Linked DNA regions of Rhinolophus ferrumequinum. The protein of the gene in region 4 purifies or fractionates together with the protein of the main gene of each other region. This does not show direct contact. Links are inferred from orthologs where the notes say so. Each region holds a gene or a part of one and is shown on either strand. Other genes may lie near its edges. The genes, in order: CHUK, IKBKG, RPS6KA4 and CDC37.

What was found.
Region 1: the proteins of CDC37 (region 4) and CHUK purify together in Homo sapiens (affinity purification with mass spectrometry; 7 studies listed by BioGRID and IntAct, with this or other methods). This does not show direct contact. The link is inferred for Rhinolophus ferrumequinum from reciprocal best matches to the Homo sapiens genes CDC37 and CHUK.
Region 2: the proteins of CDC37 (region 4) and IKBKG purify together in Homo sapiens (affinity purification with mass spectrometry; 7 studies listed by BioGRID and IntAct, with this or other methods). This does not show direct contact. The link is inferred for Rhinolophus ferrumequinum from reciprocal best matches to the Homo sapiens genes CDC37 and IKBKG.
Region 3: the proteins of CDC37 (region 4) and RPS6KA4 purify together in Homo sapiens (affinity purification with mass spectrometry; 3 studies listed by BioGRID and IntAct, with this or other methods). This does not show direct contact. The link is inferred for Rhinolophus ferrumequinum from reciprocal best matches to the Homo sapiens genes CDC37 and RPS6KA4.

The regions. Positions count from the first base shown.
Region 1 is NC_046299.1:24,311,350-24,318,758, reverse strand, and holds the start of CHUK (inhibitor of nuclear factor kappa-B kinase subunit alpha), read right to left. Parts: upstream 3,011-7,409; 5' UTR 2,941-3,010; coding exon 2,836-2,940; intron 1-2,835. Other genes in the region: CWF19L1 (CWF19-like protein 1), read right to left, coding at 5,749-5,893.
Region 2 is NC_046284.1:6,116,193-6,123,584, reverse strand, and holds the start of IKBKG (NF-kappa-B essential modulator), read left to right. Parts: upstream 1-4,389; 5' UTR 4,390-4,793; exon of another isoform or gene 4,794-4,894; intron 4,895-7,392. Other genes in the region: G6PD (glucose-6-phosphate 1-dehydrogenase), read right to left, coding at 3,158-3,285, 4,109-4,208. UniProt on the Homo sapiens protein: Regulatory subunit of the IKK core complex which phosphorylates inhibitors of NF-kappa-B thus leading to the dissociation of the inhibitor/NF-kappa-B complex and ultimately the degradation of the inhibitor.
Region 3 is NC_046294.1:7,080,458-7,088,206, forward strand, and holds the start of RPS6KA4 (ribosomal protein S6 kinase alpha-4), read right to left. Parts: upstream 3,007-7,749; 5' UTR 2,903-3,006; coding exon 2,848-2,902; intron 2,745-2,847; coding exon 2,673-2,744; intron 2,013-2,672; coding exon 1,788-2,012; intron 1,704-1,787; coding exon 1,588-1,703; intron 1,014-1,587; coding exon 906-1,013; intron 684-905; coding exon 603-683; intron 522-602; coding exon 418-521; intron 329-417; coding exon 178-328; intron 1-177. Other genes in the region: CCDC88B (coiled-coil domain-containing protein 88B), read right to left, coding at 5,395-5,450, 6,320-6,388, 6,544-6,744, 7,290-7,456, 7,640-7,738. UniProt on the Homo sapiens protein: Serine/threonine-protein kinase that is required for the mitogen or stress-induced phosphorylation of the transcription factors CREB1 and ATF1 and for the regulation of the transcription factor RELA, and that contributes to gene activation by histone phosphorylation and functions in the regulation of inflammatory genes.
Region 4 is NC_046301.1:39,857,992-39,865,636, reverse strand, and holds the start of CDC37 (hsp90 co-chaperone Cdc37), read right to left. Parts: upstream 3,003-7,645; 5' UTR 2,891-3,002; coding exon 2,789-2,890; intron 1-2,788. UniProt on the Homo sapiens protein: Co-chaperone that binds to numerous kinases and promotes their interaction with the Hsp90 complex, resulting in stabilization and promotion of their activity. Inhibits HSP90AA1 ATPase activity.

The DNA.
Region 1 (7,409 bases), on a different chromosome or scaffold from region 4:
CAATAAAAAAAATTGGAAAGCAACTAAGTTAGTTTCTTCTCTATAGGACCTCTCAGAGCTTTTAACATACTAACGTGGGCTATGACTCTCCAAATGAAGGAATATCATAGATGCAGCATTTACCCAATGTATTTGACCATAGTATAATTTTTTCAAAGAGTTTCACGGGATTAGTTTTTCCAAACACACTTTCAGAAGTGCTACCCTATTCCCTAAGAAGAGTTTTTAGTTATTTTGCCATTCTTCCATATTACTTTACAAATACCTTCATTATATAGGTTATCACATTGTACTTAAAAGTGTTTATGTACTTAAAAGTGATTCTGTGTCTCCCACTAGACTTGAAATCTCCTTGAAGGCAGAAAATACTGTTCATGTTGATTTGGGCACCATCAGCACCAGCACCCAGAACAGTAATCAGCTAAATAAACTCTCACATCCTTTTCTCTTCCTCATTGTGATTTAAGAGGTGTAGATGAAATATTGGGATGTGGCTTCCACCAAAACACTAGGATCTTGAAAGCTGTAAATGCAAACCCTATGTCAGGCTTGGAAGAGTAGTGATGCTGTTTCCAAGTCTTACGACAAAGTATTTCTTTCTTTCACTACAGGCCAAGTTGTCAAATGTCCCAGTTTTGGGGAAGTCCACTCTGGACACCTGGAAAGCTTCTGAGAGATTTCTAAGATTCTAGAGGACTCAAATCTCTTTCATTGAAAAAATGATAAATTCACAGAAACAGATAGTAGAATGCTGGTTGCCAGGGGCCCGCGGGAGGAGGAAATGGGAAGTTCTTATTTAATGGGTATACAGTTTCAGTAGATAAAAAAGTTCTGGAAATGAATGGTGGTGATGGCTGCACAACAATGTGAATGTACTTAATGCCACTGAACTGTATACTTAAAAATGGTTAAAATGGTAAATTTTATGTTATATATACTTAACCACAATTTTTTTTTAAAAAATCATGTATTCATTGGTCCCCATCCAGGGACCAAGAAAAGCAGTCACAAAACCATGCCAGCATGCATACCACGTTTCCCTGAAAATAAGACCTAGCCGGACAATCAGCTCTAATGCGTCTTTTGGAACAAAAAGTAATGCAAGACCCGGTCTTATTTTACTGTAAGACTGGGTATAACATAACATAATACCGGGTCTTATATTAATTTTTGCTCCAAAAGACGCATTAGAGCTGATTGTCCGGCTAGGTCTTATTTTCAGGGAAGTGGTACATTTTTCTTATGACCAGGCTGATGGTCAGGCTTCAAATACAAAGGCCAAAGGCAACATCTGCTATTAATAGAAGTACATCGCTCCCTCTCTTTTCCTTTTGAGTGCCTTATGTCCTCTCTGATGGCGAGAATTATTAAATTACTACTTGTCCAGCTGTCAAAGTACTTAATGCCTTAGTCCTTCGCCTTCCATTCTCCCTCTCACCAAGATTTCCTCCTATGCTCTATCCAGAAACCTGCTTCATAAAATTTCCTCGGTTCTATCAGTGATATTCGTCATTGTAACTGCCACACAAACATGTCTATTCCTCCCAGATGGAGTCCCATCCTATACTATGGGCTCTCTATCCACACCCACATTCCTTAAAACAGCAAATCATGATTTCTCTTCTTGAATTCACTTCTCCATTCACAAGCCAATTGCAAGCATTTTACGGCAGTAATAGCTTAACTGGTCAGCTTGTCCCATATGTTTTCCTACTCAGATTTATCTTTTACAAAAAAAGAACACTTTTATCTTGGCATTTCCTTTTTTGCAGGTCAATTAATGATGATAAAGATGATAATAACAGCAACAACACAGCAACAACGAGAGCAAACGTTTGAGGGCTTTCCATGGGCCAGGTACTGTACTTAGCTTTACACATATTACTATCTTCTTTAACTCTCAGACTCACGGTGAGTAGACATTATTGTAACCATTTCACAGATAACAAAACAAAGGCTATACTGCAGGGATTACTAGTCCAGGGTCTATATATCTAAAAGGTCTGTGAATGTCTTTCAGGAGAACATGAGCTTCCTCAAATGGCAATGCATAAGGCTGCACGGACGTGCCTCTGTGCATATTTCTGGGGAAAGGGTTCAGATCTTTTATTGGTTATCAAAAGATGCATAGCTCAAACATGATTATTAACTGCTGCTACAATGGTTAAACATTTTCAATTAAATCAACGCCAATTCCCGACTTGGATGTTAGCTGTCTGCCAACGACTAGAGCACCTCACCCCTAATCTATCTCCTTCCCTTGCGAGGCCCCGATCATTTTCACCATCTGATCCTCATACAGCTTCCTATCTGGAATGCATCCCCAATTCCAAAGCCTACTCGATGCTTCCAAACGCTTCCACCCTGAAACCTTGTCTACTCCAGTCCCACCGATAACACATGGCTTCCAAGCACACCCAAGTACACACACATTCCAACAGGCAGCCCCCCCCCACTCTTTAGCCCCATTTTCTCACCCACTTGTGCTCACAATACACACTCTCATGTGCATTTGCCTTACGTTACACACCGTTACACTCTTTACATTCAGAGACACATAAGCACCGTCACATTCGGTAAACACCTTGTCACATCTTGACACTCATACCAAAAGTTCTTCCTAATAACGCTAACGCACACACGCTGACCCAGATACAACCTGACTCAGTAACCACAAGCACAATCTCAATCTCTTTCTTTCTCACACGCACACACGCTCATTGGCCCCCAGTACTGCCCGAGGTAACACCAACAATCTCACATACTGACAGCCACTGTGTTCCACAGACGCTCTGACAAACAGCCACCGCCGCTCCCTCGCGCGCCCCGCCTCACCCGATGTTGGTACAGGCAGACGTTCCCGAAGCCGCCGGTGCCCAGCCGCTCCCGCATCTCCCAGGGCCCGCCCGCGCCCGGCCGCAGCCCCGGGGGCCGCTCCATGGGGCGGGAGGGCAAGCGGCCTCAGGTTCAGCCACCGTTCCAAGGCCGGTTCCGGGCCGCCGAGGCTCGCGCGTCTTTCTTCTCGCGAGATGTATGCATCACTTCCGGTAACTGCCACACGGAAAGCTCCGCCCCAAATTTTCCCAACGTGCCGCAAGCCCCTCAGCAGGGGAAAGGGTGGGGGGAGTAGGGCGCTTTCAATACGCTCTCTTAAGTACCCTGGGCATTTTCCTAGCTGAGAGAACCCACTTGTTTTTTCCCCAGTCTTCAAAAATGTAAGATCTCTCCAGGCCCTACATTCCCTTCAAATCACTTTCCAAAACAGTCTGTCTTGTATTGGTCTTTTTTTCAACTTCACATCATCTCCACCCCTATTTAGACTTCACCTTTCTTCAGACTTCTGCCATCTATTCTCCAACCTCACCATCCGCTGAGCTGGCACTGGCGAAGGCCACCACCGATTTAAATATGGCGGAAGCCGAAGAACTAGAAAGAATCCCGCGCTAACAAGGCCTCCATAGACTTAATAGTTCATCTTTTCTTCCTTAAATGATTAATCATGTTCCATAGAGTCAGGATCAGCTGTTCTTTTGCTTTATTTCCTATATACCTGTCCCAGGATCTCCCCTGTAATTCCAAACGGCTCAAGGATGTGATGCCGTTCCCGAGTAAAGAACGTTCCTGTTCCTGACTTCGGGATCTTGTCCCTGTCAAACAGTGCTCCAGATACGGGTTTGCCAGTGAGGTAGTTCCTCATTGTGGGGAGTTTTTCATGCGTGATGCAAGGCTGCAGAGGCAAGCTTGGGGAATGCTGTTGGGGCAACAAGAAGAGTTTCCGAGTGGCTGATTGCTTTAGCATAGGGGAACCAGCTTCCTGTTTTTGCTGAGTTGGTCATAGCTTCATAGGACTTGGGGATTTCATTAATCACTCCATTGTTACTCCAAGTATAACAATCAGCTTGGAATCAAATTCTCAAGAAATGTGTCAGTTGGCGTTAAGGATGGTCATTTGAGCCTCCTTTGAGACGGTGTGCACTTGATCATTTGCACACCCCTGCCTATGAACTCAGTACATGGAATTCCAATTAACACTTTGTGATAGATGGTTGTATCTATCACAGATGGTTGTACCACAGATGTAGCATTTGAAACATCTAAAGGTGGGTACAGCATGTGCACCATGGTAATGTCACTGGTTGCTTTGAAAGCATTGAATAGGCTTTTGGCAAAGCCAATGTGTCTATTGTCACCAAAATCCTTGAATAGTGCACTCAGATTGTTGAACACTGCATGATACGAAGCGAGTCATGGTATATAGGTCATCAGTAACGTGTGGTGTTGGAAATTCTGGTTTCCCATACATGCTTGGTAGCCACGGAGCTGGAGTATCAGACTTGGAGGTGATGTGCAAATGGTACTTCCAAGAACACATCCTTTAGACCCAGGCAAACTGCACAAATGATTGTGATGCAGATTATCCTAATACTCTGAAGCCCTCATTTGCTAGGTGTACAGCATAATGAGCACTGAAGTGTGTTTGATCTCCACAGGTGGGGCCAAAATCTCCTTATTGTCATTTGCAAGAGCCAGGGAAGAGATGCTGAGGACCTGAGGATACTGATGACTGAGCTGACCCTGAAGTGGCCATCTTTGCAGGAACCTGGTTGTTTCCTAAAGCTCATTCTTTAACATCCCCATTCACAGGGACACTGCATAGCTCTTTTTTAAAATCCTGGGCCGGTTGACCTCAGGCTCCAGAATCTTCAAGTTTGCCAGTCTCAGTTTTTTTCATGTATAAAATGGAGGTAATAATACCTATCTCATAGATATTTTGTGAGGATTAAGTGAAATAGTGTCTGGGCCATTAGTGCCCAATATATAGGAGCAATGATTTTTCTTTTGACTTCCAAGATACAACATTCTCCTGTGATGTCTCCCTCTCTTTGCTCTTTCTCCATATACTTGTCGGATCACTCTATTTCCAAGGTAGTCATCTTCAGCTTAGGTTGGTATTCAACCTATCTTTTCATTCATTCTCGTAATTTCACCTATGGCCTATACCCTGATGATCCCCAAAGCCCGATCTCCAATCCAGATCTCCATAAGTTTATAACTATGCAAGAACTCAACATATCTAAAACTCAGCATATCTAAAGCAGAACTCATCTTCTTATCTTAAATCTGCCCTTTCTCTTCCCAATTAGACTGTAAATTCTGGGACAACAGAGACCATGTTGGGACATGGCTATACTCCTGGAGCCTAGAAAAATGCCTGGCACATAGGAGTTAAATATTTGCTGAAGAAATGAATGAGCTCTTTCATATCAACAAATGAATGTTATGAGAAAAATGGCAAAGGCCTTGGGTTCCTTCTCCATCCTGGGTTGCTCAGGGAGAAGCCACCTGTGACATCCTGTGATAACAGCTGGGCCTAAAGCCCCGGCTCCTCCTATTACACACACACACACGACTTTATTTCAGTGGTTACAGGTAACATGAACATCAGGCACTTCCCAAACACGGGAAAGTATTTGGATTTTATTTGATAGTTTAAATGTTTTGGAAAATGTTGATAAACAAAAGCTGTATTTGGAGCTGGATGACAGACATGCCTTGAATATAGGATTTTCCTCCTAGAATGTGACTTTTTCCAAAAAATATTCAATTTTAGGCCTCTTGCTACCAATAGGTTCCATGGGAATGCACAAAAAAAGAGGCAGGAAAACAGTCCCCACGGGAGACTGTAGTTTCTTAAAAAACAGGCTGCTACTACTTCCTGTGAAGTTCATAAAGTGCCTTTCCCTTTGCTTAGTCATCCAGAGTAAAGTCAAAGGGCTCAAAGTCTTTCCGGAAGCGGCGAGCCAAGGTTTCTTCCTCTTCCTTGCTGATCTGACACTGCCTCCAGTCAGACTTGTCAGGAATATTAAGGATGGCTTCACTGGCCAGGACCTCCCTGCAGAAAGAGTACAAAGAAATCAAAATAGACAGTATCAGCCTGAACACCCCCCCAACCTTCTTTTCCTCTCCACCAGAGAGCTCTCCTCAGCATCACCCAAACAAGGCATGCAAATTCCTCTGACTTCACTCATACCATTTTCTCTTGCCCTGCGTGCCTTCTCTGCCATTCTAGCTATTAAAATTATACTCATTTTAAGTGACCAACTCAGATCCTACCTCTTTCTTAACCCCTCAAATCCCATTTACTTCTCTGAACTTGGAACTACATTTATTGGTACTTAAAGAAGCAACATGGCACTGAAGAGGGCAGGCCCTGGTGTCAGAAATATCAGAGACGATTCCATTCCTAGCTCTGTCCCTGGCTGTCTATGACTTAAACAGAAGATTTCATCTCTGAGTCCTGATTTTCTCACCTATGAAATGCGAACTAAGGGTTTTGTGAGGTATGGAAATAACACAATAAAAGTACCAGACTGGCTCTGATTACATCCTACCTTAAACTCCAGTTTCGTCATCCCAATTAGACCATGAGTTTGGTAAGGGCATGGTGCAGAGTTGGGCACCTAGTATCACACCTCACTCTAACCTTCTGCCTCTCCTTTCAGCGGATTCAGGCGTATGTGGACACAACAGCACAGGCTCAATACCAACAAAACTTGTCTTGGCTCTTAGGACTCCAGTATAACTACATACAAACTTACACACAGGCTACCTTCTAACTGCCACTGCTTTACACTTTTACTTATTTTTACTTATGCTGATATATTAGAAGTAACTCTATGCACATCTATACGGTTCATTTCCCACAATAAAGCTACAATAAATAGAAGAGTTGAAAATCAATCACATGAGTCTCCTAAAAGTCAGAGACCCCGAGCTCAAGTTCTATCTGCCTGGGCAAACCTTGAGCTGACTTCATCTGTAAAATGAAGATAGAATCACCTTTCTTGTACAGCAGCAGGGAAAAAAAAGTCTTTTCAAGTATTTTGTTAACTATAAAATGCTATGTAACTGTAAGTTAGCATTTTGAAAACTACAGTGTTGAAAATACAACTATCATGAGCATAAAATCATCCAGAGAATCTCTCTTGTAGGCTTATGTGCCTGTGTATATCTGCAATCATGTGCCTACATCATCAGCGTCCACATCTGCATCTGTTGCTGAGGCAACAACAAAAAGATAATGTCAAATGCTTGAAGCTCCTAACATACTTGTTCTCATTTGTCAATGATCTTTTTGAAAACGTAGACAACTACATTTACTGGACTTAATCCAATGGTGGCAATCTCTTGGAGGCTTTCCAAATTAGTCCAAGAAGGGCTTAAGGTTGACTCAAAGCTCAGATCTAATTGGGACAGGTGGGGGAATAAAACATCTGCAAATCACGGACACCAGCAGCAGGTTATCTGTACTGCACATTTTCGACTCCCCTCCATAGTCTATCTTTTCTTGTCAGCAAATTCCGATCTTCAGTCTTTGCCTAATTTATACCACTCCTTGTACGGTTTTA
Region 2 (7,392 bases), on a different chromosome or scaffold from region 4:
GTGGCCTGGCTGGGGCAAAGGAACCTGGGCCACCACCCACCTGTGGCTGCCCAGCTTTGTCTTCAGTCTCCAGTGTTATAAGGCCACACCACTGCCGATATCTGTCTTTGAGAATTGTAGGCGTGGCAGAGAGCTCCAGAGGCTGGCTGCCAGCTAGAGGGCCCACAGGGATGGGCCATCCCGTCCCCCTAGGGTCAGTCAGGTCAAGGATCTGCTGGGTCCCCCAGGGTGGAGCCCGGGCTCTGGCTGGAGCCCAGCTGGCTCGTGGCCACTGCAGTGAGAGCGCTGGGGTAGGCGAGGCTATAAAAAAGAGCCTCCCTCCTCCATCGTGGGGTTCATGAATCACCAGGACTTGGGGGGGGTGCCGACATCATCATGACACAGCAAGAATCTTACCGGCCCAAGGGGGAAGACAGCCCAGCAAGATCCTGAGGAGAGGGAGGGGCTGGGGCTGCCAGGTCATTCCTTGCACAGGCCCGTCATTGGGATGGGTTCTGAGCACTCAGTGAGCCCATGGCCCTTGTGGTGCAGGTGGGGAGACTGAGGCCCCTGCAGTGAGCCAGTGCTGCCCAGGCAGAGTCGCAGTCCTATCTCTTTCTCTCACCCCCATTTCTCTCTACATCCCCTGGAGGGAAGCATCACTCCAGTCTGGCCGAGGCCCCATCAGATGGGGGGAGGACATAATGGACCAGGCCCAAGGTTCCTCCCCTTGCGCTGGTCTGTAAGGAGAAACTGGTTGCTTTCATTCCAGAGTTTTCTAGACTGGGACAGTAAGTACCTCCACTCCCTTTCTGCTTGGGGGTGGGAATCCTGAGATGGGGAGAAGTGGCTATATAGTGGGGGGAACAGAGAACAGCAAACAGCCCCAAGCCCATTGGGTAAGTCTGTGAACCAGCATTGTGATGCCCCCAGGAAGGAAGCTGGGTGTTCAGAAGATGGTTGGGTAAGTGAGTGAGGGAGGAAGGGGCAGAGGATGGCCACATGGGCTCAGCCTGTCCCAGGGTGCCCATCAGCCACTGGGCAGTGTCTGCTCTTCCCTTGGTGTAGAGTCCTCCCTGGGCCCTGGCTCTGCAGGCCTTGCTCTGAAGGCCCTCCTCAGGAGATCTGTGTGCTGGGGGGAGGGGGGGCTGGGGACACAAGGGCCCGTTTGTGTCTTCTGTCACATGCGCCACTCTGAAATCTTACTGGGTTGCTAACTCACCTTGGGTCCCAGTCCCCCAGCACACAGGTCCCATGAGGAGGGCAGGGCCTGTGTCACTGCACTGCAGAGGAGGTACTCAATCGCCACTTGATGCCTGAATAAGCAGAGAACTAACTGGTTTCCCAGAGAACCACCGTGCCTACTTTCTACATGGAGGGAGCAGGCATGGGAGGCCTGCTTCTGGGAGCTGTTCTAGGTGCTGCCTGAGCATGGGAGGCCCGCCTACCCCACTCCAGCCCCCTTGAACTGCAGGATGGAGAAACAAACAAGGAGGCTCTTCTTCGGAGGATCCCCTCCCCACAGCCTGTCCTCCTCCACTCCACCGCACTGAAGTGGCACTTCCCACTTCTGCTCTGAAAGCTTCTGTTTGTTGCTCTCAGAGCAGAGGGGAGCAAAGGGGAACCTCACCAATTGCAAGAAAACAAAGTTGCCCAACCCCAAGCTGGCCACAGAGGAAGGCAATGATGAGGAGCTACAGAATCAGCTCGGCAGAGCCCAAGGAAGCCTTGGCATTTGCTTCAAAAGCCCTCATTTGCTACATGGAAACACAGAGGTTCAGAGAAGGGAAGACACTTGCCCCAGGTCACACAGCAAGCTTGGATGATCTCAGTGAGATGTCTAAGAGTTGAGGGTCTGGAATTGTAAGCCATTTATTGTGGCCTGGGACGCTCTATTGGGGCATCCTGTGACTGGAGGGAAGGAAGAGAACTAATCCTGAGTTACTTTCTCCTCCAAACTATTTCTTGGACAAAGGGCCTAATGGTCAGAGTCCTTGGTGTTAAGGTTTGTGGCCAATACAGGTATGGCTCCTCTAAGGGGACCAGGCTGGAGACAAGGTGGACGTCACATCTGCCCCCTGTGTGCTGCTACTGTGTACTCCCCAGCCGTGGACTTACGGGGAGCCAGAGGACAGTGCTTAGTGCAGGCCTTCCCTCCCTCCCACCGGCAGAACCTTTCTCCCCCACTCTGCCTCCCTCCCTGCATTCTGGCTCTCCTTTTCCAAGTTCTAATCAGAATCCCAAAGTTGGCAGGGGGCAGCCTCTGCAAAGGACAGTGGCACGCTGATACGTGAACAAAGAACCAAGGTCCTCCAGAGTGAGGGGAGCATGATGTGGACGGCACAGAGAGACCATGCCTTCCCCGTCAAGAGCTGACTAGTTTGGGTAGAACTCTCCCTCAAGATTATACAGTAAGTTATGGGTAAAAATGGTCCTGCGATGCTTAGCAGATGCTTCGTCACATTCAGGGTTCAACGTGAAAAGAGAAGGCCGCTTTAACTTCGACATGAAGCCCTGGCAACTCATCTCACCAGGCCCTGCACACATCTTGCCGCCTGGCAGAGATCTCATTTCCACATGGTACACCGGGAGGGGGCCTTAGTGTAGGGGCCATGGCCTTTCCTATCAGAGCAAAATGGCAGTGCCACTGGCTAGACAATGGGGCAGGTCACAGCTCCTCAGCAGGCCTTGGAAGTTGGGGCAAAGAGACAGTGTTCAAAGAAAGGTTGAGTGTTTGTCCCCAGGGAACTTGACGTGGTAGAGAGACAAGGTGGAGATTGGGCCTCAGATCCTGCCTCTGGAACTAATTGACTGTGTGACATTTGTCAAGTCACAAACAAGTTTGAGAAAGATACACACAGAATGAATAGCCTCCCTTGTTTGCATCTCAGTTTTCCCCATGGAGGAAGCAATCCAATCAGACAGTCCCTAAGGACCTTCCAGCTCCAGGACATGGGTCTACATTCAACGGCTCTGCAGGTTTCAGAAATGCCTCACAGTGTGTGTATACCAGGTGTGCTGGGTGATAATGGCACACGAGCAGGAGTAAGAAGGAGAGTCTAACTGAGCTGAGCCTGTGTGGCCCCACGGCAACCAGTTGGGAAAGCTCAGGTACCCAGCAGGAAGAGACCTTAAGCAACTTCACACTTTTAAGATGTGGGGCCTGGGGGAGACTCACCGATGCACCCATGATGATGAAGATATGTGTATCGGACTGATGGAAGGCATCACCCTGGTACAGCTCTTCCCGCAGGATCCCGCACACTTGGGTCCGGCTCAGGGCCACCTGCTCTGCCATGATGCTCTCTGGTGAAAGAAAGACTTGTTGACAAGGCACGAGAACAGAAGAGCTCTGAGAAGATGGCCCCTTTCTTCAGGGGTCTTTCGGGCTCTCACTCAGCTGAAGTCTGATTATTCGAAACCACTGGCTGAGAATGGGGGGAGGTAGGATGGTTGGGGGGTTAGAAGCTGCTGGCTCTGAGCTCCGGCCATACTCCCCAGGAAGCCTTCTTTCACAGTGTACATTACAAAATTACTCAAAGCACTAGTGGATTCCAACGAGAGTCTCAATTCTGAGGAACTGGGTAAAAAAACCCCTGCTGGAGCATCGCACGATGCTAGTTTCATCTCAGCCTGGAATCAGGCGGAAACCCCACAACAAGCTGGAGCATGTTAGACCCTGCAGCTCCAGTCCTCCTCCTACCAAGCTGGGAGATCATGGCAAGTCCCTGCCCCTCTCACGATCTCAGTCTCCTCAGGGGTCCACTGGAAAGCGTTAAGACTCTCTGATTTTACCCGGCTCCCCAGCATGGCAAATCGAAAGGCCTCGCGGCGCAGCACACCCCAACACCGGTGTGGCGCCCGCCCACTTCGTTACCTGAGCTTCCTGTCCGCCTCTGCCAGTTGGTCTCTCAGCCCCGGAGTTCCCGGACGTTTCCGGGGGCTGCGACCCGCGGGTCCATTTAACCAGCGGGGGCGGGCGCCTGAGCTGAGCTGACCGCCTCAGGCGAGGCGCGCGGGCGGGGCCTCCATGGGCCCCTCCCTCGCGGGGGGCAGGGCAGGTGCGCGCGCATCTTAGCCTCCCCTCCCGCGGAGTCCCCTCCCTTGGCCCGCCCCATCCCTTGGGCACCTGGGCCGGCCGCTGCCTGCTGTGCCCATCGCCGCTGTGTCGCGTCCCCGATGCCTCGCGAGTCCGCGAGCAGCTCTGCGCCGTTCGCCCACGTCTCCATAGCCAGCCCTACCCCGCCCCTACACTCTGATTTTGCCCCTCCGCCCCCGGCGGCCCGGCGCCCTCGCGGAGGGCTCACTTCCGCCGGCAGTGTGGCCACGCCTCCTCGACCCCCATTTATGGGCGGGGCCGTCTTCACCCCGCCCCCTCCCGGACCGGTCAAACCTGTCCTGCGAGGTAGCCTCTTCGTGGCTCCTCCCCTAGCAGGGGCGGGGCGGCCGAGCGCCCGGAGGCTGGGTGCCACCGCTCAAGAGACAAGGGGGAGTGTGGGTTTGACGCCCCGGAAAGTAGCGGGTGGGGAACATCACTGGGGAGCGTCCTGCGGGCCGGCCGAGGGTGGCGGGCTCAGGCTTCCCTTTGGAACAGCTTCCCTCACATCTATTCCCGGCCTCTTTGGAGGGGCGGGGCTTGCGTGTTTTACTTCCGGATCCCACAGTTACGACACCGGAAGCCGGAAGTGGGAATTTCGTGGGGGAGAAGGGAAGAGCGACCGCGGAACCGGGACTTTCTCGGAGCGACGGGGCCCGAGGAGCGCTCGCGGCCCGCTGCTCCCGCCCTTCTTACGTCGGACTGATTCTGCTGAAAGGTGTGGTCCTCTTCCCCGAAGACAGGGTACCATCGGTGGGCGTTCCGCCGCCTCCTAGATTTCCCCCGGACGTCTAGGCTTCCCTCTCCTGTTGGGCCCAGGTCCGTTTCTGCCACCCGCTTCTAGAGTACTGGCCCAGGCGGGCCGATGCAGGACCCAGGTTGCCTTGGAGGCGAGCGGGACTGTTTCCGCTTGTCCCTCCTCCGCTGCCGCGGAGTCTGACCACACCCATAGTTCGTGGATGACTCTTGTAGTTCGGAGACATTTTCTGTTCAAACTTGCTTGTGTGTGAGGTGGTTAAATTCTTTAAAAAGACCTCAAATAGAGTTGGCAGCTAAGTGTCTTATCTCATGTGCCTCCGTTTGTTCACTTTTCAAAAACGATTCATGTCAGCCCGACCTCATACCGTTTGTGTGACTTGAGGATAAAAGGGCCATCATGGCATGTTGGAAGAAGAGCAAGGAGGCCATTATAGCTGGAGCAGAGTGAGTGAGGTACTTGGAGAGGAAGCAGTAAGGGATCAGATAGTGCAGGGTCTTGTAGGCCATTGTAGGGACTTTGGCTTTTACACAGAGGGTAATGAGGAACCATGCATGGTAGAGATCTGATTAGAGGAGGGACATGATTGGAATTACCTTTTAGGCGGATTGTTCTGACCGAGGTGGGGAGAACAGACTGTATGGGGCAAGGGTAGGAACAGGGGTGACCTGTTAGGAGGTTGTTGCAGTAATCCAAGTGAGAGACAATGGTGCTATGAGCATTTTATTATGAAAAATTACAAAGACGTACAAAAGTAGGAAGAAGAGTGTAGTAAATCCCATGTGCCCACCTCCCAGCTTCAACAATTATCAACTTGTGGCCAATTTTGTTTAATTTATACCTTTTACAATCCTCTCCCATTACTCTTTTTAATGACAGCTTTATTGAGATATAATTCACATACCACACAGTTCACCCATTTAAAGTGTACAGTTCACTGGTTTTTAATATATTTAGAGTTGTACAACCATACCCACTAATTCCAGAACATTTTTATCACTCCAAAAAGAAACCCTGCACCCTCTAGCTGTCACCCCATCACCCCATCTCCCCCGCCTCTAAGCATCCACTAATCTTTCTGTCTCTGTGTATTTGCCTATTCTGGACCTTTCATATAAATGGAATCATACAATATGTGGTCTTTTGTGAGTTGTTTCTTTTTCTTAGCATAATGTTTGCAAGATTCATCCATTTTGTAACATGTCTAGATTTTGATTATTCATCAGTTGATGGACATTTGGGTTGTTTCCATTCTTTGGCTGTCATGAGTAATGTTGCTGTGAGCATTCATGTATGGACATGTGTTTTCATTTCTTTTGGGTATATACCTAGGAATTTCCCCATTACTTTGAAGTGGATTTCAGACACCATGCGTAAATATTTCAGTATGCATCTCTAAGAAAGGACTGAAAAAAAAAAAAAAACAACCACAATACCATATCCCACCTAAAATAGTTAACATTAATTGCTTAGTGTCATCAGATCGATTCTGGGATATATTTTGGTAGAATTTCCTGATGGATCAGATGTGAGCTGTGAGAGACAGGAGTCAAGATGGACTCCATGGTATTTGTCCTGATAACGAGAGGATGGATTTGCCATCAGCTGACACGAAAGAAGGCTGCGGGACCTGGCTTTTGGGAACTGTCGGGAACAGTTTTAGAGAGATTAGTTTTGAGAGGACTCCTAGATTCCAAGTGGAGATGTTGAGTTTGATATGTGAGTGTGGCGTTGAGGAAAGAGGTCTAATTTGGGGCATCATTGACATTAAGGTGGGGGGTTAAAGCCATGAGGCTGGATGCTTAGTACTGGTGGGACTGGACAGAGAAGAGAAGAGATCCTAGAACAGAGCCCCGGGGCATCACAGTGTGAAGGGCTGGGTTACCAAAGAGGATTCAGTGCATGGCACCGAGCACAAGCAGCCAGTGAGGTCGGAGGAAAACTAGGAGAGGGCTGTCCTGGGAGCTGAGGGAGGAATCCGTGGTTGGTCAGATGCTGCTGATGAGTTAGTGGTGTGTTCAGTGTGGTAGTCAAATGTCCAAGTTTATCTGTTGTGAAAGCCTCCCTCAGCTCAGGCCTCAAAACTTGTATTGAGAGTGGCCTCCTCCGCCAGGTAGTCAGTCTTCTTGGGCAGGATTGAAAAGGGCTCCAGGCTGGTACTGTCCCTCACGGCCCGCCTCTCCTCTGGTTCACAAGAGAATGGGGACAGCTCAGCCTGTGTCTCTGCCCCACTGTCTTAGGCTGTCAGCCCAGCTCCCACTTGCCGATTCTAAAGCAAAAAGTCAGATACTGGATTTCCCTTTTGTCCCCTCAGTTCCAGGGAACATTCATCAGGGTCTGAGTGGTCTCCTCGAAATCCTTCTTAGTAGGTGCATTAATTTTCTGGGGCTGCTGCAAGAGATTTATTCTTTCCCAGTGCTGGAGGCTGGAAGTCTGAAGTCAAGTGTGGGCAGGGCCGTGCTCTCTCCAGAGGCTGTAGGGGAGGGTCCTTCCTGCCTCTTGCAGCTTCTGGTGGCCCCAAGTGTCCTTTGGCCTGTCGCCACTCCAGTCTCTGTCTCCA
Region 3 (7,749 bases), on a different chromosome or scaffold from region 4:
CTTCTGAGATTCAATAGAGATGGATGAGAAGATAAGTCTGCTTTCTTTATCTGGAGACTTTTCTAAATCAAGTGAAACTGGCCTGTCTCCGACCATCCCTCCAGTGTCCCCAAACCCAGAGCAGCAGCCCAGCTTAGGTATGTGCAGAAAGGTGTGGGGGCGGCTCAGGAGCCTCACCTGGAAAAAGGGATGATTCTTGACTTCCTGTGCCCCCTGGGGCCCCGCACCCAGCCGCTTCTTGGGGTCCTTGCAAAGTAACCGCTGAAGCAGATCCTGCGCCACAGGCCCGATCCGAGGGGGGAAGGGAGGGGAGCACTTCAGGATCCGTCTGGGAGGATTGGGGGGGGCGTCAGGGGCAGCGAGCCCCCCCTCCCTGCCCAGGCCCCTCAGCTGCCCTCCACATCCAGCCCCACTCACCGAGACACCTCTGCCTGCGTATTCCTCTCACCCTCCAGAGTGAAGGGTGAGGCCCCAGTCAGCAACTCAAAGAGCAGGATGCCCAGGCTCCACCAGTCCACAGCCTGCCAGGGCCGAGCCAAAGTGAGGGCCTGCAGCCACCCCGGCCTCACCCCACCACCACCCCCACTCCCCTGCCAACCCACCTTGCCATGCCCCGACTTGCTGCGGATGATTTCTGGGGCCATGTACTCGATAGTGCCACAAAAGGAGAAGGTTCGCTCTTTCTGGAAGGGCAAGAAGACCCACTTTGGACAACCAGCAACCCTCAAGGTTCAGAGGAGAACTCACTGGACTTGCGAGGGTTGGAGCAGTGAGAACTTCCTGAAGGCAGGGCCTAGGGCGATTTACCTCTGTACCTCCAAGAAACAAGCAGTGCCAAGCATGGAGCAGGAGACAGGAAGGAGATGGCTTACACTGGGGTAGGCGGAGAGACTGCTTTCACTCACCTCCTCTGTCAGGAACTCCTTGCTTAGCCCAAAGTCCGTAAGGACGATGTGGCCCTCGGAGTCAAGCAGCACATTCTCCAGCTTCAGGTCTCGGTAGATGATGCCCAGCTGGCAGGAGCAAGAGGGATACTGAGGACCCTTCCCCTAACAGCCCCAGCTCCTACAGCTCATGTCCCTGCACCAAGTCAATGCCCAGAAGAAGGGGACCCCCTGGAGAAGGGGATCTTCAGTGCAGGAGTGGGCCTGGGGTAGGACTGAGCCACTGAAGAGGAAAGGCCATTTAAGATGCAAAAGCTAGCAAGGAGGACCGCCCCATGGTAGGGGCCCAGAGAAGCAGGCCCCAAGGTCCCAGAGAGAAGAAAGCCTGTGTGAAGAGCTCCATGGCAAGAAGGCTTTGGGAGCCAAGGCATGAGGTCTCCATTTGAGGAAGTTCTATAAACACGGCCCCAAGAGGCAGTCCCGAGTTCCCTGTGAGAGGAAAGCACCTTCGAGGGGACGTCAGGGGAAGAGACCCCACCAGGCAGTGCAGAGGCCTTCCTTCCAGGAGGCCTGAGGAAGCAGCTCTGGTCTCCACCACCCCCCAGGAAGAGAGAGAGATCGGAGGCTGCCATGTTTGGAAGCCCCTAATAAGGCCCAGACCCAGTGTCCATGGCAACAGGCATGTGGCCAGGTCCTCACCCACCTTGTGGAGGTGTTCGAGAGCCAGCACAATCTCGCCCCCATACACGCGCACCTCAGCCTCCTTGAAGTGCTGGCGCTGGTAGAGGTGGGTGAACATCTCACCACCATTCACATAGTCTGGGGGATAGGTTAGATGTTGGAAGCAGTCCCCATGGGTGGCCCCACCTGCCTCCATAGCCCCCAAAGTTGGCAGGTGCCTGCCTTTACCCAGGATGAGGTGCAGCTTGGCATCGGTCTGGAAGGCGTAGTGCAGCGTGACCAGGAAGGGCGCCTGGCGCACCAGCTCCAACACTGACCGCTCAGTGCGAGTGTGCTCCTGCGTCTTGGCGCGCTGCACCAGCGCAGCCTTGCGCAGCACCTTCATGGCATACAGCTTCCCTGCGTCGTGCCCACCCGCCTTCCGTACCAGGAACACCTTCCCGTAGGCTGTGGGAGCAGCGAGTAGGCAGAGGGTAGGCGGTGAGCAGGAGGGTGGTGCAGACTGGTGGGGGTAGGAGTGATGCCAACCCAGGAGGGTGTGCAATTGGGGGAAGGAACTGGGGTGAGAGGCAGGTGTGCAAAAAGCCGGCAGAGGCTTCTAAGGGAAAGGTGTGCACAGCACTGGGAGGGTGCTCAGCAAAAGCCGGGAGGGGTGTGCAAACCAGCTGGGGGCTATGCAACTCCAGGAGGCCTGCAGGGCAAGGTGGGGGCGGGGCCTGTGCAAACCTGGGGAAGATCAGACAGATTTGAGGACATGCAAATCCAAGCAAGGGAGGCAGAGGTACGTGCAGATTTGGGAGGGATGTGCAAACCCAAGCTGGGGAGTTTGCAAAGTGGGGGAGAGGACTCTAATATCAGCGCAAGGAGAGGAACTGTGCAAATCACTTGGGAAGGCTGCAAGCCCCCAAAGGTGTTGGCAAATCCAGGAGGACCTTGCAAAGGGCATGCAAACCCTGGCAGGGCAGGGCAGGCAAGGCGGGCTGTTCCAAGAAAGGGTGGGGGGCATTGCTGGTGGCCTGGCCCAGGCCCAGGCGGGTGTGCCGGCAGGAGGCAGGAGGCCCAGGGCACCGTGCCTGGGACATCTGCCTGGTGGGTAGGGGTCCTCACCTCCCGTGCCCAGCACCTTGAGCAGCTCGAAGTTCTCCACGCTCACCTTCTCCTTATGCCCAGTCAGGTTGGCTGTGGGCATAGGGGGCGAATGAGCCCAGCCAGTACATGACCCCTCCCTGTGGCCCAGGCAGTCATCACGCAGCCCCGCAGCCCCTGGCCGCCCCTGCCCCACCTTCCGTGATCCGCAGCTCCACAGCGCAGCCCTCCTCCTCGTCCTCGTCCCCCATGGCGGGCCGGTCACTGGGGCCCGCACAGCTCGGCTCCGGGCGGCGCCGGTTACATGGCGGCTCCGGCCGGGGCGGGCGCTTCCTGGTGCCGCCTCCAGGCCGAGTTGGGCGCCGGCACCGCCTCCCATCTCCCCGCCCCGAGCGGCCTGAGTCAGGCGCAGGAACGTGACAGCTCTGGGCTGCGGGTGGGCGGGCGGGAGCGGCCAGTCTTCTGCGGGCGCACAGGGAGGGCATCAGGGCTGCGCGCACCCGGACCGCTTGCGACCCTCCTGGTGACCTCGGAACAACCCCTTGGGAGCCATGCCTGGGATCTGCGGATTACCTGGAGTTCCAATTGCGCAAACACTCCCAAGCCAGGTGTCTGCCCTGGGGTGCCTGGTGAAGCCAGTGGTGCTGAGACCCTGGAGCCTGTGCCGCAGAGGAGTGCACGCTGGCACTTCAGAGTTTCCCCTCCAGGGTAAAAATGTCAGCCCAACATCTCTAATTCTTAGCCACAGTGAAAGTGAGGAATTTCATAAAATTCACAACCCACCACCTCGTTTGGGATCACTCCTCGAAGTCAGCAAATAGGAAGGGGTCTGTAGGTCCCCTTGACAGATGAGCAGCCGGAAGCCACACAGCTGCCTTTATCCAGCTGCTGCCAGCACAGGGCTGGCCCAGCACCTCTCACTCAGTGTGGCCCACTGCTCTTGGCGCTGGGCAGCCCTAAGGAGGTGTTTGGGTCCTGGAAGCCACTCAGCTCAGCTCAGCTCACGGTCCACACCTCAGCGGCCAGCTGAGACCCTCTCCCCTGTGGACTTGCCTTTGCAGGGGAGGGTCTGGGGACTCAGGTGCCCTGAGGACCAAAGCCCTGTCTCTGGGCTCCCCCTACCCAGGGAGCACCTACAGGGGACACTGGGAGGGTGCTGGAGCCAAGCCCCACCCCATGACAGGGAGGGGTGACCGAATCTCTTTAGACCAACCTGTAAAAGCACCTCAGGCCTCAGCCACCCTCCACATCCCACCCAGTGCCACGCACCCTCCCATGGTTCTGCCCTGTCATCCCCAAGCCTGGCACAGTGCCCATGCAGAGCCCAGAGTAGGCCTCAAAAAGGAACATGGAGGAACGTGAAGGAACATGAGCCTCACAGGGATGGCCTGCTCTCCACCAAGCCTGGCGCCCTGACTGGTCTGTCCTCCAGAGCCTCGTCCCCCTCCCGGACAACTGACAGGGGCCACCAACAGGGTAGGGCAGCCATCAAAGCCCCCACCCTGAGGCCTATGGGAGAGGGCTTCCAGCTGGAGGCCTGGGGTTCCACTCCCACAGAGGCTATCAGCCTCTGAAGCCGGGGCTAAGAGGAAGCAGGCAGAGCAATGGGTTATTTCTAAGGGGGTTGTGGAAGCCCCATGAGTCGAGCTACTACAGGTCACCCTGGGGAGGCTGGTCTGACCACCCCTCCCAGCTCTGCCTACCCCCAGATTCAGGCTGCCTCACCTCAGCCCGGGGCAGCCCCTCCCTATCTTGGGAGGCCCCAGTGCCTTGAGTCACGTCCTGCCACCCAGCCTAATTGCCCCCTCCCTGAGTGTCATCCTAGAGGCCCTGGTCAAAGACCGTCCTGTCCCTCCCACTTCTTGTGTTCCTCCATGACAGCCCCTGGCACTAGGTGATACCCACCAGGCTGTGACCTCCCTGGGGAGGGGCTCAACCCCAAAGGGGTGGGGGAGAAATGAGGAGATAGAAAGAAGTGAAAGGAGAGAAGAGGGTGCCAGAGAGGGAGGGCAGGGCCTCTGGGGTTCACTGCCCCCACTCCAGAGCCCAAAGCCCACCTTTTAAGCAAAGGCTGAACCCAGACTAAGGCCCCACCCACTGCTGGCTACCCAGAACCCCCCACCCCTCTGGGACACCCAGGGAAGCCTGACAGGCCACTCCCCTGAAGAAAGCCCTTCGTTGCCCTGTGCCAGGTGAGGAAGCCAGTAGCCATAGACCCCACTGGCAGAGAAAGACTCCAGGCCGCAGGTGTCCCTGGTGGCTTGTGGCTCTGGATGCAGCCAGTACACACAGAGCGCAGATTCAGGTGATTGTATCCCAGCTTTATTTTCATGTCCCTCATGTCCCAGCTAAGGCTTAGAAATAGGCCCAGGCCACTGCCCCCAGGGAATGCTCCTTGGCTCCCCACCTGGACCGGGCAGGGGTCTCTCTTGTCCACTCTTGCCTGCCTTCTTCATCTTGGGGGTCCCCCAGAAACCGCCTCCTCAGCGAGGGCCACATGGCAGAACCAGAGCCCTGGCAAGGAGCTGCTCCTGGGGACCGGCCATCCCCCCTGCCCACAAGCTTGTCCCAGCTCCATCTCAGGGCCCCAGTGCCAGCCATGGAGGACCTGGGGGCCCAAGCCTCCTTGTCCAAGGACTTGCCCCAGGGGCCCTGGCTCCCAGAATTCTTGGGCTGTCTGGGGCCCCCACTGAGAGTCCAGTGGCGAGGTGCCTGCACTTCCACGCTCCCCATCCACACGGTGTCACTGGCTGAGGGAAGGGGCGAGAGGACGCTTCTCCGGTTCCTGCACCTCGAGGCCTGGAGGGAAAGGCTCAGCTCAAGCCCACTCCCCTGGGGGACTCCCAGCATTGGTGGTGGCCCGCAGGGCCCTACACCTTGTACCCACCCTCCACCCCTCTATCCTCTTCTCAGCTTTCCTGCCTCACCCCAGCTGCACTGGCTGCCTGGCCGCCTCCAACATGGCACGCTTTGCCTCAGCTGCTCCCTCTGCCTGCATTGCTGTTCCCCAGATATGTCACACGACACACTCGCCTCTTAGTCTCTGCTCCAACTTCCCGTCCCCTCTGAGGCCTATCTTGAGCACCCTGATTAAAACTACAACCCACCCACCCCGAGCTCCTGACCCCCCTCACCCTGCTCTCTTTTTCCAGAACATTGTCACCTCCCAGCATTCTAGGGCCCAGCTGCCCAGTACGCGGCTGAGCGAATGAGAGGTGGGTGCTCTGAACCGTAACGTGCTTGAGTGTAAAATACCTCTAGACCTGAACGACTTAGTATGAAAAAATAATAATACCGTAAAATATCTCACTAATGATTTTTTACACTTACTACATATTGACATGGTAATAGTTCAGGCCTATTGAGTTATATAAACTATGTTATTAAAATTAATTTTACCTGTCTCTTTTTACTTTTTCTGATGAGGCCACTAGAAAATTTTAAATTATACACGTAGCTCATATCTTACTTCTATTGAACAAGCGCTGTTATAGATGATTGTTATTTTTATGCATATTGTTTACTGTCTGCCTCCCACACCAGAATGTTCCCTGCTGTGTGGCCCCTGCTAGCACATCACCTGGCACTTAGTAAAGGCTCATTGTCAAATGAATGAATGGATGGATGAGCGCTGCCAGGGCCCCACGCAGGGCAAATACCCCACTCACCCTCTCGGCTGGCATCTGCTTCATGTTCCTCCAGGGTCTCAACGGAGCCATCCCATCCCATGCCAGATCCTAGGGGGCCACAAGGCAGCTGCTGGGCCACAGGGACCAGGGCAGAGGCAGGCAGGGCTTGTGGAGAGACACAGGGGACAGGAGGGAAGCCCCCTCCCCCAGGAGTTGGTAGGTCCACAGGAAGTTGGGGGCTCATAGAGGCAGGGACCCCTCACCTTTGCCATGGGAACTTGCCATGGGGCCTGGACGGCGCTGTCGGAATCGCTGCCGGGGGGTGTCCCCGGGGCTGAATGACTCAGAGCTTCGCCCCACTGGGAATCGGGAGCTGAGTTTTCGCCGCTGCCCACCTGCCAGGGTCTCATCCCGTAGGCAGAGAGAGCTCTGGGCCCGGCGCATAGGTGCCGGTGAGGGGGACCCTGCAAGACGCATAGGCATTGGGGAGTGCCCGAGCAGTACAGGAGGGGCAGGGCAGAGTAGAGGGGTAGAAGGATGAAGCAAAGGCAGGGAAAGGAGGCTGCAGAGGTGGGGGAGAGTCTGGGTGAATGAGGGTGGCAATAGGAGGCTAGACCTTGTGCTGGTTCTGACACTAACTCACTGTGTGACCTTGGGCAAGGCACTTCCCCTCCCTGGGCCTCGGTTTCCTCATCTGCTGACTGGAATAAATGACCTCTCACTAAAGGCCCCTGCTGCTCTGAGGTCCTAGGCACTGCTGTGGATGGGTAGGACTGGGTAGGTGGCAGCGCAGACAGGAGGAAGGTGCCAGAAGAAAGGGACACAGCAGGGACGCAGAGCAAAGCGCCACTGGAACCATCTGGGGGGGGAGGGTGCAGCAAGGAAGGCCAGAGGGGGCATTTGTGTAAGCCATGCAGGAAGGTAGAGACCAGAGACATTGATAGGCGCCAGAGCGGGAACAGAGGACATGGGGTAGGGACCATCCTTGTCACCTGGCCCCCAGACCCACCTGTCCCATCCGCCTCCCTGCCCTCGGAGAACTCCATCTCTGGGGGGCCCCCCAGGCTCTCGGTGCTGCCAGCCCCATCGGCCCACAGGCGTGGCCCCCCATGGAGGCCTCCCTCCCGCCGGGGCCGCATCAGCCTCTTCACCTTGTCTGCCAGCCAGCTGCCCTTCCTGGGGGCAAGAGGGCACAAGAGTGGGTAAGGCCAGGGAGGAAGGAGGGACAAAAGGCCATTGTTGGGGATGCAAAGGCCAGGCAAACCCTCACTGATCCTGCACCTAAGCTGGGCCAGGGTCAGAGGGCAGGCAGGGGCCAGGTCGGGAGGACCCCAGCCCAGAGGTGGAGGGGCCACTCACTTGATCCGGGGCAGGGGCCCAGGCTCCAACACACGGTACTGGTCCATGATCTTCTCTACCAGTTTCTGTTTCTCTCGACGCAGGGCATTAAGCTGGTCGCTGGGGGGATG
Region 4 (7,645 bases):
TCATGGCTACTGCCACCAGAATGCTCTGCTAACTCGCTCTGTGCCTTTTACGAGGCTGTATCTCCAAGTTCTAGCACAGGACCAGGCATACAGAGGGTGAGAACTGGGAGACCTGAGCCCCAGAAACTGACACAGTCAATCCTAAGCCACACTTTTCCCCATGTGGATAGGGGTCAAAAAGGCCCTCACCTCTGCAACCTCCCTTTCTCCACAAGGGCCTGTGTGGCCCGGGTGCCTTCCCACCACCTTGAAAGAGGCTCTCTGGGGTCGGCACCATACTTGGCCACAGTTTCTTGTTCTGTTTGGGAAAAAAGTGGGATTTCTGGATCTTAATGGGAATCACCCTCAAGACCCAGGGAAGCATATCACAGGAACCTACCACCCTGCTGGTTGCTGCTGGGTGGCGACCAAGCTCTTCCTGGTGTCCTCTGAGCAGCTGCCAGGGAGGCCAAAGCTAAATAAAGGCCGCCCGGAGTCGGTGGGGGCAGCTGCCTGCCCAGCCTGGGCTTTACACCTCCAGGAGGGACTCTAGCATGCTGGGCAGGGCAGAAGCCACAGGAGTGGGCAGGGCCTGCAGGTGCACTGCCCTCCTGCCTTACAGATAGAGAAACCGATGCCCCTAGAATCTTGAGGCAGCACAGCTTACGGGAAGAAGCCACAAGAAACCAGTGGCGGCTGTCTGAGCAAGGTTGCCGCGGAGCCAGGGAAGACTCACTTGTCCCCTTCTGGAATCTGTGTTTTGTTTTGCTTTTTACTATGAGAGTAAATTACCTACATAACGATGATGACGATGGTGGCTAAAGTTTATGGAGAGCTTATTACATGCCAGGTGCTGTCCCAAAAGTATTATACACATTAAATAAATAAGGCAACCTGCACGACAACCCTACGGAGTGGACACTATGAATATTTCCAGCTGGGGATGTTGAGGCACCAAGAGCTCAAACAACTCACTGGAGGTCACGCAGCAAGTCAAGGGATTCAGAAGCCAGGATCTGAAACCAGGTGGGCAGGCCGAGGCTCAAAAGGCCACCAGGCTACCTTTTCACTAATCGCACCTCCCGTCCTAGGCCCTGAGCCAAATTCTTTTCAGATCTAATCTCATTTCATTTTTGCAATGGTCTTGTGAAGGCAAGGCTGGGATTAGGACCCAAGCTTCCTTGGTGCTGGAGATGCTGAGCCCCGTCAGCAACAGCCTAGAGGCTTTCCGTGGCAAGACAGGAAACGTTTCTGCTTCAGGAGTGGGGAGGAAGGGGGGCAGAGGGCAAGGTGGAAGGCATTTGCCACAGGAGAGGGGGCACCGGTCTCCACAAAGCAGGATAGATTAACCTCTTTATGTGACAGAAATGTGTTCCCAAGAATGGTCTTTAGAACTTTGTGAAGATCTTAAATGCTTCATAATAAATGACAAGAAATAGAAGTGCTAGAACTTTCTTCTTAGACTCCAGTGGCGTGCCGAGCAGGTACACTACCCAAGAGACTGCTGCTCTAAGGAATAGGGTGGAAATGGGACTGGGGATCCGATGTGGAGACTAAATGCCTTGGCAAGATGGGAAACGGCCCTTCTAGGAGTTTCCGGATACATGACTGGGAGTTGCCATACCAGAGGGTAGAAGGTTCTGAGAGGAACACACCCTCAATTTGAGACTATAACAGGCACAGCTATGGGGGTGCAGCAGCCCTGATGTGTGGGAGCAGGAGGTTAGAACATTAAGACTTATGAGAGCCCTTCTGTTGGTCTGTGGACACTGCTGGACAGGGAAAGAGGAGGGAGGACACTGGGGCTCGGGATTCTGGGGTCTGGATTTGGGGACAAATATAAAAACGGGCAGTGAATTTGGAATCAGATTGGGAGAGAGGGTTCCTGGTGAGAGCAGGGACAATTTGGGTGCCTGAGCGCAGCAGACCAGGCTGGGGTCAGGGGCAAGGCAGAGTGGGTTTGGATGAGGTGTTCCAATGCTGGCAGAGGTTCCAACAGGAAGCTGGTCTTGGGGTTTAGGTGGTGCCTGGGTCTGCAATGCCAAATAGGGGCAGGGGGTGTGGCTGGACAGGAAGCCACAACGGTAGGGTTTCCTGGTGTCATGGGAAATGGGGTCTACAGTAGGTAAGGCTAAAGGAGAGCAGCCAGAATTGGAGGCTCCATCAGGGTGGAGCTGGTAGTTGGGTCTGGAGGGGAACTGGGTTCCAAACTCCAGGCCCAGGTGGGACTACGGGCCCTAGTGGTGCATAGGTCTACAGGATAGAGTAGGGGTCCTGGGTGTGGGGTGGCATCCCAGGTTAGGAACAAAAACCCCAGGGGAGGCCACGGTTTCTTGTTCTGTTTGGGAAAAAAGTGGGATTTCTGGATCTTAATGGGAATCACCCTCAAGACCCAGGGAAGCATATCACAGAATAGATTCAAAGTATTGAGGACTCTAGGGACTGGGGAGTGGCCGATGGGATATCCAACATCAGAAATGGGGACCCGGGTCCAGACTCTGAGGCAGAGCTCTGGGTGTAAATGAAAGGTCCCAGACGGGACTAGGGGGCACCCCCAAAGCTTGGCTTGGGAGTCTAGACTCAGGAAGGTGCCTTAAGCGTCAACTGGGAGTTCCATGCAAAAATTCAGGGTCCCGGCAGTTCTGCGGTCCCGGAGTTTAATCGAGGCACCCTAGGCGATATTAAAAGTCCAGACTGTGGGGTGGGAATCCCAAGTGTCAACGGCGGAATCCCTGGCTGTATAAGGGATCGGAACTTTGCAGCGGAGTCCCAGGAGGGTGGGGGAAGGGGCTGGGCGCGCGCGCTCTACCTGGTGCCGCCAGCGGAAGAGGCTGGCCGTATCGATATTGGGGTGCGTCTCGTCTTCATCGTCAGACACTTCAATGTGGTCCCACACGCTGTAGTCCACCATCTTGCCTCTGTGGCCCAGCCCGCTCCGGCTGTGAGGGCGGCGGCGGCAGCAGCGGCGGCAGCGACAGCACGGGAGCCTCAACCTGCGGAGCCCCGCCCCTTCCGCTTCCGCCGGGGGCGCGCAACTCCGCCCACGCGTGACGTCAAATCCCTAGTAACCGCGGCGGCGTCACTGGCGACCGAGTTATTCTTAAAGGCCCCAGCGCGCATATTCGACCCCCGGGAGTCCCGGTCGAGACCTCGCCTCATCCGACGCGGGGTTCCCACTAGGCATCTTCTAGGGGTATACGGGCGGGAGCTCCAACCTCAAGCTCCCCCTCATCTCTCGCTGCCCCTCAGTGGGAGTTTGCGGCGGTCGTGGCGGGGGGTGAAGTTGGCGACACTGAGGGAGAAGATTGTCCCCTCAGCCACGCCGCAGTGACATCAGCCCGAACCCCCTGCAGGGGCAGGGCCTCGGCGACGAGACCCGCCCTCTGCCCCTTGTGAGTTGGGACCTAATTTACACTGGGGAGGGGTGTGTGATCTGAGAGGACCTTCCCTCAGGGGTGCAGGACCCTGCCTTGGGAAGGTCTTAGTGAAAGAGGGATATTATGGCCGTGCCCTTGGGGGGTGGGAGGTGGCGGCGATGTGACCCTGCCTTGGGGGCTGGTATTTTCTATGGGAGTACCACAGCCTCCTTGTGCTGCTCTCATCTGCTACCACTCCAGAGCCAAGATTCGCGCATACGCCCCCTCTGGAATCACCTGGATCCCTCAAATGTGTCTCGGACGCGGGTCCGCGGCGTTTCCCCGTGTGGCCGCTAGGTGTCACTAATGTCTAGCCAGCGGCCAGTGCTCTAGGCCCCGCTCAGAGTCTTGGAGAGCCGAGGTGCGAAAGGGGGCTTTCCTCGTACGTAGTAATACTCCAGGACTGCTCATAGCCCCTTCCCTTTCGTCTGGACGCGCTCAAAGAACTCCATTATTCTGAGTTAGGGCGACACCAGCCGCACGCACACTTTCGTAAATCCCAACCCACACTTTGATACCGGGATAAAAGACTCTGTTGCAGCCTAGGGCCAGGATTATCTCAGATTAAAGGGCACTCCGTGAGGGTCCGGGGGGATGATAGGAGCTTTAGACCCTCAGGTGAGGGGCGCCTCTTCCCAGGCTCTCCAAATCGTTTGTTTGGAGGAAGGGGGCTGGAAGGTCTCCAAATGGGGGGATTCCCCTGCCCGGAGAGGGGATGGGGCCATCCAGAAAAAAGCCCCCTCCTGCTGCCGCCCCTCCACCTCAGGCTCCATTCAAACCAATCAGTGGGCGGGCGGGGGCGGGGGAGTCCCCCTGTCTTTCTCCCCTCCCCCTCCAGCCCCAGCAGTCCAGGATCTCAGAGACCGTCACAGCCCGGGCACGCGCGCGCACGGACCGACACCCCAGCGGGTCTCACAATCGCGCACACACACTTACACAGCAGCAAACAAAGGGTCTGGACACCCTTGTCCCCTCCCGCCCCCCCCTCCAGCCGGAGAGGGCGGGGCATCCCCTCCCCAGCTCCCCTGCAAGGTAAGCTTCGGGCTGCGAGCTGCGGTGGGGAGGGGAACCTGGAGCCCTGGAGGGAGGTGGACAGGATGGAGGGGGTTTCCCCACTCCCCAAGAAAGCCGGCCCTCCACCCCGTAGCCATCTGAGGGCTTCAGGCCTGCCTCCGGACTGCGGGGGATGTGGGGAGGACCCCGGATGCCGGGGATTCCCGGGTAGTCGCAGGAGTCTCTCCCTGGCCTCGAGACTGGAGCTGACTGGCCCCAGTTAAACCGGGTCCCAAGAGCCCCAGCTTCCAGATTTGGGGACAGGGCGCCGGAAGCTCTCCCATCAGCGCCAAACCGTTTCTTATCTCCTGCCAGCACAGTATCTCCAACCCTGGAGATAGAGATCCCGGAGTTGTTTTGCACTGTCCTTTGGTCTCTCTCTCCCCGCCCCCCCCCACCCCGTTAGCGCATCCCATGCTGTCTCTGGTACCTGCGAAGTGGGGGTGGGGGGCTGGGAGTGCTCCTTTGGGCTATCCAAGCTTCCTTTGCTGCATCCGGTAAGCCACACACTTAGCTGCAGTGGGACCCAGTAAATGGCTTTGCCTTCCTGAGCCTCAATTTCCACATCTGCAAAGTGGGTAATGGCACACCGAGGCTTACACGAAGTCATGCATGCGAGCCTGTCCTTGCCTCATCATTTATATCTTAGCTCATTTCACACCTATTTCCCAAGTGCCTACTATGTGCCAGGGCACTGTAGCCAGGCCGTGGTGCCATAGCAACCAAGACCAGCCAGGTCCCTGCTCTTCTGACCTTCCAGACTGGTAAGGGAGCAAGATCAGTATGTAAACAGAGAAATACCCATGGTGATTTCAGGCTGTGCAGACTAAACTCCTATCAGGCACAGAGAGTGTTGGGGTGTGGTGGTGGGCGGGGGAGTGCTGGAGATTAAATAAGATTTACCGTTTGTATCTGTCTGCCTTGTTATTTCAGCTCCATGAGGGCAAGATCAGGTTCAAATCAGTGCCTGGTACACTGTAGGTGCTCAATAAATGTCGAATGAATTAAAAAGGGAATTAGACACAGAGTATTTCCTTAGTATTTTAGATCACAATGGCGGCTTTATCATGAACCAGTCCATCCATCCTCCCATTTTACAAATGAGGTTGAGTGAGTCCCTAAGACCCAGGGATGGGAAAGATGTTGTCGGAGGTGATAAGGTTGATGAGGTGTCATCATTCCCATAAAAGTGAGGATGGCTGAAGGAATGGTTGTGAACAACTGGGAAAGGAAGATAGTAGAGACCAGACTTGGGCACGGTCTCTCCAGGAACCTATGATACCCAGGCAGAAACTACCTCTCCTGTGCCATGCAGATATTCATCCATTCAACAAGTATTCAGTGCCTACTACATGTCAAGGGCTGGGGACATAGCAGTGAACAGAAAAAGGCTCCCTGCCCCCAGGGAGCTGATATTTATTGGGGGGAAGAGAAAAACAACATAAACAAATAAATATGGTAACAAACATTATGCTTAGAGCTGTGAAGGAAACAGACAGCTTGTGACAAGAAAGAAAAAGGAAAGGGTCCATTTCAAGTTGGATATCCAGGAAGACCTCCTGGAGGAGTGGAATTACTCTTCCAAGACACACACACACACACACACACACACACACACACACACACAAATCCAGACAAATGTAATCCTACTCACACTCTACACTGAGAACCTAAATAATATGCCTGAGGCCACACAACTAGGTGAGTGGCTGAGCAGAGATTTGAACCCAAATTTGGCATTTCTAACCACTGTGAAAAGCTGCTTCCTGCTGCCTCCACATGCAAATACTCTCCCCCACACACACTCATGTCACAGTCACACAGAGGTACGTCTAACCTCATGCCCACATAGACTGATGTGGTGTCACCCTGTCACATACAAACACTCCTACAGGTAGAGTCTTGTCTCAACTATATAAACTCAGACTCGTGGAAAGTTCCACCTGTCAGTTGAATATGCACAGCTGTGTACAAAGTCTCATGCACGTGGCCGCCGACAGTTTTCCCAGCCCCACTTCAGTGCCAGGCAAGGAGCTTGTCAGACTTGGATGCTCAGGGCCAAGGTGTAGACTCGGCCTTTATCCTCACTCCTTTCCCTCTTGTTGGCCACCTGTCCCCATATCTTCCTGAGAGAAGTAGGGGGTGGGCAGGATGTCAGGCTGGGAGAAGCCAGCGCCCCTCTGTTAAGCCAGGCCAGGGGCTCCCAGGGTGGGCCTGTGGCTGATTGCACTGACAAGCTAGGTGGGGGAAAAAGCCTCTCTCAGTCTGAGCTTGGTGCCAGCTGCCCAGAGCGGCCTGCTCTGCCATCTGGACCCCTCTCCTCAGACAGCCTGCTGCCCAGGGGAGGGGAAGGCAGGCTTAGAAGCTGATGCCCTGCCTCCTGCGCCCAGGTTTCTCCCAGGATGGATTGCTGCAAATGTGCATGGGTGTGTCCGGACAGTGGTGACATGCATGTCACCTCTCTCCCCTGGCCTGTGGGGCTCCTCTGGCCATCCACTCCTCCATTCCGTCCTTCATTCCATATGTTCTTGAGCACCTATCTTGGGCTATTCCAGGCACTGGGGATGTAGCCAGGACTAGCTACAGAATTTGCACAGTACAGGGCAAGAGGAAAATGCAGGGCTCCTGGTCAAAATTATGAAGAATTTCAAGACGATGATAGCAGCGCATTAAACCTTCTAAACGTAGAGCCCTGTGGGATTGCACAGTTCAGATGTCCATGAGAGGTGGCCCTTGTTACAGCTAGAACAAGCCAGAAAAATCCCCTGCCCTCATGGAACTAAGGAGTTGGGAAGAGTAGAAACATACAGATATGATATGTCAGGGGTGATAAGAGCTGAGAAGAATAAGCTAAGTAAGGGCAGAAGGTGACAGTATTGGGGGAGACATCTGTATCAGGGAAGAATCTAGAACAGGGATGTCAAAACTTTTTTCAACGTTTTTTACCAAGGGCCATACGCAGTAAAATACACAAACAGCTGGGCCACTCACTCGAGGTGAAGTACATCTTGCCTCACCTGGTTTATTTAAGTAAACTAAATATATTTTTGGAATTTGCTGTGGGCCAATTAACAATGGATTGCGGACGGCAGTTGGCCCATGGGCCACAGTTTTGACAGAGACCGGAAGAAGGTGAGGAAGTCAAGCAGATTTATTCATTCATTCAAGAGCTATTTGTTGAGCACCTACTGTATGCC